Cricetulus griseus: one gene and its partners. The protein of the gene in region 1 interacts with the protein of each later gene in a pairwise test. Links are inferred from orthologs where the notes say so. Each region holds a gene or a part of one and is shown in the gene's direction. Other genes may lie near its edges.

Region 1 (4,231 bases):
CTGAAGCCATCTCTCCAGACCCTAATATTTATTTGTTGAGACATAGTCTCATGTGACTCTGGCTGTCCTTGAACTTACAAAGATTCTTGCCTTCTGAGTTTTGGGCTAAGAGGCACGCACCACCACTCCTGGCTCCTAATTTTTATTTTCATTTTATGTATATAGGTGTTTTGTCTGCATATGTCTACATGACAGTGAGTTTTCTTCTCACTGAGTAGCTTCTGTTTTCTATAAAGATTTTTTTCCTGCTGGGGCCCCATTTGCTTTGCCTTCCAGGATTTGCTTGTGAGGTTGTCAGATGTGCTCTACCTATCCGGAAAATGGTAGAGGGTTGGGGGGCTCTGCCAGGCAAAATGCATGATAGATTTTGAGTGCTTTTCTTCTATCAGGCTTCCAGGATGCTTCAACCCCCTTACAAATAGATCTGGGCTCTCCAGTTGGAAAAGATGAAGGTCATCTCTATGCAATCTGACCAGCATTAAATAAAGATCTGGTGCTGGCATTCATTAGTAAATCCATGCCAAACCAAATAACCTGCTCTGGCTCTGGCCACCATGCTAATTTTCAGAACATCAGGATAGTATCTAAACATTTATATAAATTTGCAGTTTCATATAAGATCTATGACATGGAGAGAGCTCTATTATTACTTAGAATTTTTAAACTTTTATTTATTGGTGGGGCGATCGAAGAGGTACGTGGAGGTCGGAGGACAACTTGCAGGAGTTGCTTCTCTTCTTCCACCATATGGAACACAGGTGTCTTGGTGGCAAGTTCTTGTACAGGCTAAGTCATGTTGAGATAGGCATTCTCCATGTTGCCCCCTAGCTGACACAGAAACTAGTGGCAATCCTCCTGCCTCTGCTTCTGAATCACGAGACTTGCCTCCCATGAGAGGGCCAAAGCCAAAGTATTTTCTTTTCTTTCTTTCTTTCTTTTTTAAATTTATTTATTTATTATGTGTGCAGTGTTCTGTCTGCATATGTCCCTGAAGGCCAGAGAGGGCACCAGATCTGATTCCAGATGGTTGTGAGCCACCATGTGGTTGCTGGGAATTGAACTCAGGATCTTTGGAAGAGCAGCCAGTGCTTTTAACCTCTGAGCCATCTCTCCAGTGTACTCAAGGGCGCCTTGAGCTCAGTAAATAGCTGGAGCTGACTTTGAACTCTCGATCCTCCTGCCTTCCCTCACCTCCCAAATGGTGGGATTACCAGTGTGAGTCACTCGGCCAGGGCCGAATTCTGTTTTTATTAACTGCAAAGTGAAGGAGCTCTGACACAGGGGAGGATGCTAGCCCATACCAGGCTGGGAAGTAGGAGAGCCACTTGGGTTTCCTGCGCAGCCGATCTGACAGCCAAGCAGCAGGTGGCGCCGTGGAACAGGACAGCGGCGACGCAGGTGGGTCTGTCTCTCTAGCCTGCGAGAACGGAACCAGCGAGAGGGCGAGCGGAAGTCGAGGTGGCGGCACTGCTTACTTTGCTCGCGGCTGCCCTGGCTGGGCTGTATGAGCCGGGCGGGCGGCGGATGGAATCGAGGCAGGATGCTCGCAGCTGGCGAAGCGGGCCAGGAGCCGGCGGCCCCGGTGAGCGTCCCCGGAAGCCCGGGGGAGGGAGGCCGCCGCGGTGCAGAGCCGCCGCTGTCCCGGGGAGGGTCCCGGCAGTGCAGGTCGCAGCCCCCGGGAGAGGCCGAGGCCCCCACCGACAGCAGGGCCTTGGGAGGCCGGTGCGAACCACACTTCCTGGAGTCTAACTTGTTTGCCGCTCGTGTTTTTCTGCCAGTGCTGCCCCGAAGGCGGTGACAGAGTGAAGAACGCGGAGGAGAAAAGTAAGCCGCCTCCACACCCTCCCAGCACACTCTTCCAGGCTCTGCAAAAGAGGTGGCGCGGCCTGCTACCTTTTAAACGAGTTATTTTTTTCCCCTGTAGGTTGTTTAAATAGCAATAAATACTAGTTGCACGAGGACTTCTGTCTCTTTAAGACTGTAAAATACAGAAGAGAACTTTGAGACTCTACCTAGTGCCCTGACTGGTGTGACTTCACTGGGGCCTGTTATTTTAATGAAACAGCAGCTTGTTATCAGGAGGGAGTGTTGCTGGGTTCAAGGAGGAGGTTAGATAACTGCTCACTTATACTTTTACCTTTAGTAAATTTGTAATTAAAATTTGCTGCAGGTAGAACACAACTTAGGCCTTGGGTCTTGGTCTGGATAGGGGACAGGGAAAGATCTGGTGCCTCCATTTCCTACCTAGGACAGGAAAATATTCCAGAAATGTGGATATTTGTCATTCAACTGTAATAAGATAAGCATAGCAGGTTATTAGAAATCCAGTACTCTTCAGGGGCTGTTTTTGTTATTTTGTGTTTTTTTTTTTTTTTTTTGAAACAAACTCAAATGTAGCCCAGGTTGACCACCGACTACTATGTGACTAAGGATGACCTTGAACTACTGATCCTTCTGCCTCTATCTCCCAGATGCAGTATGTCTAATCCCTTCAGGAGCTTTTGAAGGATTCCCTCTTTTTTAGAGGAAGGAGAAGAGCAAGTAATGGCTTTTTTGCGTGTTAGAGTTCAGTTCAATGACCTGGACAAGCAGACTGATAGAAATTAGCACTAAGAGAAAGGGGGCTCATGTCACCACGTGGCTCCTAGCAATAAGGCTTGCTCTTACTATTAGCTACTGATAAACCCCTCCCCCCTTAATTCTTCTTGGATCTGGAAAGATTGCTTGGTGCTTAAGAGTGCTTGCTACTTTTACAGAGGACCTTTGGTCCAGAACCCAGGTGAAGGCTCAGTACTCTAGTTTCAGGATTATAAATGCCGTGTTCTCACCTCTTGGGGCTCTTGCTTACACTTGGTACAGGTAAACTCATGGAAGCAAACACACGTGCACATAAATGAACAAATCATTTTTTAAAAAAGCAGAAATGATCTGGGAGATATTTATTACAGTGGCAGAGCTCTTGCCTAGCACTTTAGCATCTGGGGGTTTGGACTCAAGCACCACCACCAAACAAACAAAAAATGGGCTTAGCTGTTAAGAGTATTTGATGCTCTTCCAGAGGAACTGGGTTTAATTTTCAACACCCATGGGGTGGCTAACCACCACTTGTAACTATAGTTCTAGGACATTCAATGCCATTTTCTGGGTCTGTGGCCTCTGTAGATTGAATGGATGTGGCACACAGACATACATGAAGACAAAACACCTATACACATTAAAATAAAATCTTCAAAAGTTCAAAACAAAACCAAACCAAAAACATGTAGCAGGAATAATAAAAACCCAAGGACAGATGTAGGGGTTAAAACTGAAGATCAGAAAAGCAAACTGGCTAGCCACTAGAGAGTTCTCACCTCTACCAGTGCTCAGGTGGAAAAGGGTGATCGTGTCCTCAGACTGCATCTTCAGTCTGCACTGCTCCTCTGACTGCACTGGTCTCCAAACCTCAGACTGATGAGCTCCTGTCTCCTCCTGTATTATATTCCTCTCTAGTGCTGGGATTAAAGGTGTGTGCCACCACTGCCTGGCCTCTATGGCTAGCTAGTGTGGCTAGCTTTGCCCCCTGATCTTCACGCAAGCTTTATTTGTTAGATCATAAACAAAATATCACCACAGAAACACAAACAACCCTTTCCTTCTCTACCTTTGTCACACTAAGATGCTTTGACTCTTTTTGACATCAACTGATATGTCATTTTAGAATGTTAGGCACAAACCACTTCATTAAGGACTTTGTCCTTGCGTATTCAGGGGCTCAGTCAACTGCTGTGCAATGCTGAATGTTCTTTATATATAAGATTAAAAGGGAGAGACATAAAAACTTCCCAAGCCAGGTGTGGTGGCTCATGTCTGAAATCCCAGCCCTTAGGAGGTTGAGGCAGAAGGATTGCCATGATTTGGAGACCAGTTTAGGTCATATATTTAGAGCCTATCTTTTGTTTTTTTAGATCTTTATTTTTTAGTTATGTGCTGTATAATTAAGCCTAGACTCTCCTCTTTTTTAAATTTACTTTTTTTATTTTTATGACGTTTTGCTTGCATGTATGTCTGAGTTCCATATATATGTCTGGTGCCAGAGGAGGCCAGAAGAGGGCTTCAGATCCCTGGGAACTGGAGTTGAGATGGTTCTAAGCTGTCAGGTGGGTGCTGGAAATCAAATCCTGGTCTTCTACAAAAGCAACAAGAGCTATTTCCAGCCCATAGATCCTCTCTTAGGAAACCAAAATTAAAA
Region 2 (3,633 bases), on another chromosome or scaffold:
TTGTTTTGTTTTGAGACAGAGTTTCTCTGTGTAGACTTGACTGTCCTGGAACTTGCTCTGTAAACCAATCTGGCCTCAAACTCAGAGATAAACCTGCCTCTGCCCTCCAAGTGCTGTTATTGAAGGCATGCACCACCACTACCCAGCTAAATTTTATTAATTAATTTATTTATGTATTTATGCATTTTATGTATATGTGTGCTCTATCTGTTTATATGCCTGCATGCCAGGAGAGGGCATCAGATCCCATTCTAGGTGGTTGTAAGCCACCATGTGGGTGCTGGGAACTGAACTCAGGACCCTAAGAAGAGTAGCCAGTTCTCTTAACTGCTGAGCCATCTGTCCAGCCTTAGTAAACTTCTAAATCAGTGGCATGGTCATTACTATAATCAAGTGTGATTGAGTGTATATGATTGTATATGCCCTGCATATATGTGACTGTCAGTGCAGAGAATATGATATGTTTCACTGTGACATTAAGCTGGCAGTGGTGCCATGAGGCAGTAAAATCCTGTGGGGCCACTGTCATAGGATTGTGGCATAGAAAGACCTGTTAACTGAGATATCAGGGGTAGTGCCTATTTCTATTTAGGGGCTATAGTTTCATTTATTTTTTTCATTGTTTTTATTACTATCTTGTGTATACATGTGGTATATATATGTTTATGAAGTATGTACCTATATTTGTGTAGGTCCTCAGGCATGTGAGTGTGCATGCCCATGGGTGAGAATGCATGTATAAGGCAGTGGTTGATACTGGATGTCTTCCTTGATTATTGTCCACCTTAGTTTTTGAGACGGAGTTTCTCACTGAACCTGGAACTGATTGATTTGGCTAGGCTGTTTGGCCAGTGAACTCCAAAGACCCAGCTGTCTCCACAGTAATGCAGTGCTGGGATTGCAGGCACACACCACCATGTCTGGCTCTCAGATGGGTTTTGGGAATCTAACTCAGATGCTCAGGCTTGCACAACAGGCACTTAATTCACTGGGCCATCTCTATAGCCTCTCCTTCTTTGTTTGAAGCAAGGTCTCACTCTAGCCCAGGCAAACCCGGAGCTCTTTGTGTAGCTAAGATGGCATCAAACTCACTCCAGGACTACTACAGCCTCCTACACGGTAGGATGACAGGTGTCAGCCACCACACGCAACAGGATCTGTAGTTTTCAGCATAGACTTGGTCTGGGGAGTCCAGATCGCCAAGAAGCATACGCTGAGTGCCTCACCCAGCACTCTTTTCTCCCTTCTTTGCCTAGCATCCTCCGAAAAGCATTGGATAAGATAGCTGAGATCAAGTCTCTGCTGGAAGAGAGGCGGATAGGTGAGTGGGAGAAAATGCAGGGTATTTCTTGACCAGGCCAGGTGGGGGCTGGGGGGAAGCAGTCATAGCCTTGGCAGGGGAATATGGGACATAGGTTGGTGGGGTCACCCAACAGAGCTGTCTGAAACAGACTCAGAGGCAGAGAGTTTGCTTAGTTCTTGCCTAGACCCAGGAAATTTTGTCCCACCACTCACACTGCCCTGCTCACTCTAGCCAGGGCTGGTCATCTCTCTCCTTCCTACCGCTGCTCCCTCTGTGGCATGCTTTGGTGGCCACATGTAAGCTGGCTTAGCCCCCTACCTTGTAGGTTCCTCAGGTGCCATTGCCTTGGCTTCCTGACTTCTGTCTTGTCCCAGATGCAACTCTTTACCCCATATCACCATCATGGTACCATTTTTGTTTTTAGTTGAAGAGTGTGATGAGCCATGGCTGATGAGACCAAGGATCCACACTAGATAATTTGTGCAACTTTTGTTGAAATTACATACACTAGTAGAAAGAAGATACATTCCAGGAATTTTCATTGACCCAGCACATTTATATATCCAGCATCCTGGTCAGGAGACATAATATAACCTATATCCTGGAAACCCTCCTTTTTAGTTCCACTCCACGATGGTGGCCACTGTCCTGACATCTCACCCACTTGAGTTAGGCTGTCAGTTCCTGACCTTAAGAAGGGGTGTGGATGGTTTTGGGATCCTGGTATAAAGTGCTCCAACTCAGAGCAGTTGCTGGGGTGTGACTGGGTCAGACACCATCCACTTGGCCTCAGGGGTTCACTTGCTTCCCACAGCGGCCAAGATCGCAGGTCTCTACAATGACTCGGAGCCCCCACGGAAGACCATGCGCAGAGGCGTGCTGATGACACTGCTGCAGCAGTCAGCCATGACCCTGCCCCTCTGGATCGGGAAGCCTGGTGACAAGTGAGGGCAGGAACTAGCCAGAGAGGGCTGGTGACAGGGAGCCAGACTAACGGGCTTTCTCTCACAGGCCCCCACCCCTCTGTGGAGCCATTCCAGCCTCAGGGGACTATGTGGCCAAACCTGGAGACAAGGTGGCTGCTAGAGTGAAGGCTGTGGATGGGGATGAGCAGTGGATCCTAGCTGAAGTAGTCAGTTACAGCCATGCTACCAACAAGTGAGTGTGTGCCTGACCTTGCATTCTCACCACTCCAGCTTCTGCAGCATGGGAGGAAAACTCCCCCCAAAGGGTGCTGGGTGGTGCTCTCTCGAGCTTCTCCATCCCCTTTTCACCCTCTCTCAGCCTTACTCTTGGATGCAAACCGCTCTTTGTCCCAGAACTGTTTCCCTTTTGTTTGCCCACAGGTATGAGGTAGATGACATTGATGAAGAAGGCAAAGAGTGAGTGTCCCGGTGGGGAGCAGTGGAGAGTCACCAAGCTTCTGGGAGAAGCCTCCTGGTCACGGCCTGTATTGTTCCCCCAGGAGACACACCCTGAGTCGGCGGCGCATCATCCCACTGCCCCAGTGGAAAGCTAACCCTGAGACAGACCCTGAGGCCTTGTTTCAGAAGGAGCAGCTGGTGCTGGCCCTATATCCCCAGACCACCTGCTTCTACCGTGCCCTGATCCACACACCCCCACAGCGGGTAAGGAGCCACATGAAAGGCCTTTGATGACACCAGAACCTTAAGGGTTGGTCCCCATCATTCTTCAGCTTGCCTGCTTGCTGCCTTCTTGTTGTCCTTCATCTCCTAAACATAGGCTTTCCCAGTAGCACCAGACCCCTTGACTTGAGAGCAGAGAAGAAAGTAGGAGAGGCAGGCAGGGAGATGCATCTGGGGCTCTGGGCAAGGAGGGGCTGCCCTGGCCTAGAAGCATCTTGACCAGCCCTTCCTGTGTGTGCTCTACAGCCTCAGGATGACTACTCAGTCCTGTTTGAAGACACTTCCTATGCAGACGGCTACTCCCCTCCTCTCAATGTGGCCCAGAGGTACGTGGTGGCTTGTAAGGAGCCCAAGAAAAAGTGAAGCTGGCTGGCTGGCTTGAGTCTGCCACTGCCGACCTCATGGGAGAAGGCAACAAACGAGTTCCTGTAATAAAATAAATACTCTTCCCTCTCACCATGTCTCCTGGGCCTCACTACTTCAGACCTCCCTGCCCTCCTCCATCAGGCACATGGGATTGGTGGCCGCAGGAGGGAGAAGGCCCAGTCAGCTCCCAGTGACATTTATTCTTTCAGGTAAAATACAGTTTATGTCTTCTGTTGTTGCATGCTTGGGTTCCTTTTCAGTGCACGGATCAATTGCTTTCCTGACACGTGTTGGTAAAACCCTCTTCATTCAGATACT
Region 3 (2,350 bases), on another chromosome or scaffold:
GCCTGGAGTCACAATTCTGAGGAACACAAGGTTCTTTTATTAAAGAAAGCTCTAATCTGGGTTGTGTCCTCCAAGTCTTAGAAAATACACATGTAAATCACACAAAATTTTGGCCCCACAGAGGCACACTGCAGTTGAGTTAAGAGGGTGTTATAGCCTTCATCCACCTAGTGTTCCTGGCATGTAAGCAGAACTTAATGTCTAGAAAGCTAACCCTCACATGCCCTACCTCCTTCCACCAAGTTAAAATAGTGACTTACATGGCCAAGAGCCATATCCGAAACTCCATGGACTCTTCTGACAAGGGCCCTCTTTGCTTTGTTTTCAGAGGTTTAATTATGCTTATTGTTGCTTAGGGTGAGTAGAAGAGAATTTTTCAATCTTTGTCCTTTTTTGTTTAGTAAGTGGGAATTCTAGCTAAGAGAGAGTATAAATGAGTGGTTTACTCCTTTGTGCTTTTAATAAAAAGGTGTTGAGAAGCAAATATGTGGATGACCTCAGGGAGTAGGGAATGGGCTGTCCTCTAAGCTTGTGGTCGGACAAGCCTATGGCCCTGAGGGACAGACATGAGTAAAACAGATAGAGAGCACTGGGTGAGAAGAGGATAGGAAGAGGGTAGGAAGAAGGTGAGAAGAGCGTAGGAAGAGGGTGGGAAGAGGGTTGGAAAAGGGCAGCTGGCCCCACTTTTTAGTTCCTTCAAGCAGGGTACTTGTCAAGGGAGTAACAGGAATATTTTTAAAGCCCACAAATCTTTTTTGACGTCTACAGAGAGAAGAGAATATTTTAAGTATCTCCTGAAAGATAGAATTGTTAGATAGTATGTGATGATGGAGGTTCTGTCTCACTAGTCCCACAGCTGTTTAGCCCCAAATAAACACACAGAGACTTACATTAATTATAAACTGTTTGGCCAATGGCTTAGGATTCTTACTGGTTAGCTCTCTCTTAATTATTAACCCATAACTATTAATCTATTTATTTCTACATGGCCTTATCTTACCGGAGAATGCCAGGAACTGTTACTCCTTCAACAGCTACATGGTATCTCCATGGCAGCTCACTCTCTGAGTCCTCTCCCCAGAATTCACTTTGTTGGATAGCCCTGCCTATACTCCTGCCTGGCTACTGATCAATCAGTGTTTTATTCATCAACCAATAAGAGAAACATATATACAGAAGGACATCCCTCATCAAATATGTTTACAGAGAGGGGAAAGAAAACAGTTTTCACAATAAATCCAGATTCCAGTTAAGCTGCTATGAACTAATTCATCTTTGTATATTTCTATATTTGTCTTAATAGAATTTAATGTGCTTTGAATTAAATGATGATCAATTATGGAAGGACTGCTGAAGAACAATTTTGGAGATGGGAGAGATCCAATGCATTGTTTTAGTGTATCTATTCTCTTTTCCTCTTCTAGGATTTAAGTCAATTCATGACTCCCTCAGCTCTCTCCAACAAATACAGAAAACAAAAATGGATTTAGAGAAATATAAAGTACAGAAAGATCTAAAGAAATTACAGCGGAAAATAGTGGAACTCCAGGAAGTATAACTTTGAAGTTACTTTCTTTCCCACTAGCTAGTGGGATAAGCTGTGAAGAAGAAAATTAACATCTTTAGGATGCTGACTACTTCTAGTGTTTCCTATCATCTCTAAAGGAAATTGGTTTACCAGGAAAAAAATACATTAAAGCAAAAGGCTTTGTGATTCCTTTATTTATTAACGAAAAATTAAGAAATTTCTTTACATGCACATTTTGTTAAATTTTTACTTGCCCACAAATAAGGGAAGAACAATCTACATTGTGAATGCAAATGAATAAAATAAATTCAGGCATTCCAGTGATGAACTGGTGACTCTGCCTGAAAATAACAGCCATGATGTGGCTACAATTTGTTATTAACATGAATTTTGTTCATTATTGCAAAAACACATCTCCTTTTCAAAAGAAACATCACTGTTTTTAGCACTAGCATTTGAGATCAAAATAGTTTACACATTTATGATCAAAATACTTCATAAACTATATGGGAAACATCTGTGGGATGTATACACCAGAAGGCTAATTTACAATTTCTGACTCAGAAAATTATCTTTTCTAACAAAAGCAATGTCGATAGCAAATCTAATTTATGCATATTTAAAATACATTATCATTGTACTTAATATGTATTAGAATTGTAAGTACTGTCCCTTGCAAAACAAAATATACCAGCTTCCACTAAAAATACTCCACAATATTTAGCCTACATGCTAAACTCAAAAGTATCTCAAAACCAATGATTTCTTATCAACTCAAAACACAGTTTAAATATTGAGCAGTTGTGTTTGCATTTCTGTTCC

What was found.
Region 2: the proteins of Rint1 (region 1) and Sgf29 interact in binary tests that used the Homo sapiens proteins (3 or more experiments, as listed by UniProt). The two-hybrid records come from large-scale screens. The link is inferred for Cricetulus griseus from reciprocal best matches to the Homo sapiens genes RINT1 and SGF29.
Region 3: the proteins of Rint1 (region 1) and Fam81b interact in binary tests that used the Homo sapiens proteins (3 or more experiments, as listed by UniProt). The two-hybrid records come from large-scale screens. The link is inferred for Cricetulus griseus from reciprocal best matches to the Homo sapiens genes RINT1 and FAM81B.

What each region holds. Positions count from the first base shown.
Region 1 is NW_023276806.1:170,823,786-170,828,016, reverse strand, and holds the start of Rint1 (RAD50-interacting protein 1), read left to right. Parts: upstream 1-1,423; 5' UTR 1,424-1,504; coding exon 1,505-1,582; intron 1,583-1,778; coding exon 1,779-1,824; intron 1,825-4,231. UniProt on the Homo sapiens protein: Involved in regulation of membrane traffic between the Golgi and the endoplasmic reticulum (ER); the function is proposed to depend on its association in the NRZ complex which is believed to play a role in SNARE assembly at the ER.
Region 2 is NC_048596.1:74,077,120-74,080,752, reverse strand, and holds the end of Sgf29 (SAGA-associated factor 29), read left to right. Parts: intron 1-1,256; coding exon 1,257-1,321; intron 1,322-2,117; coding exon 2,118-2,247; intron 2,248-2,314; coding exon 2,315-2,461; intron 2,462-2,649; coding exon 2,650-2,685; intron 2,686-2,768; coding exon 2,769-2,931; intron 2,932-3,195; coding exon 3,196-3,312; 3' UTR 3,313-3,405; downstream 3,406-3,633. UniProt on the Homo sapiens protein: Chromatin reader component of some histone acetyltransferase (HAT) SAGA-type complexes like the TFTC-HAT, ATAC or STAGA complexes.
Region 3 is NC_048595.1:297,337,975-297,340,324, reverse strand, and holds the end of Fam81b (protein FAM81B), read left to right. Parts: intron 1-1,424; coding exon 1,425-1,558; 3' UTR 1,559-1,816; downstream 1,817-2,350.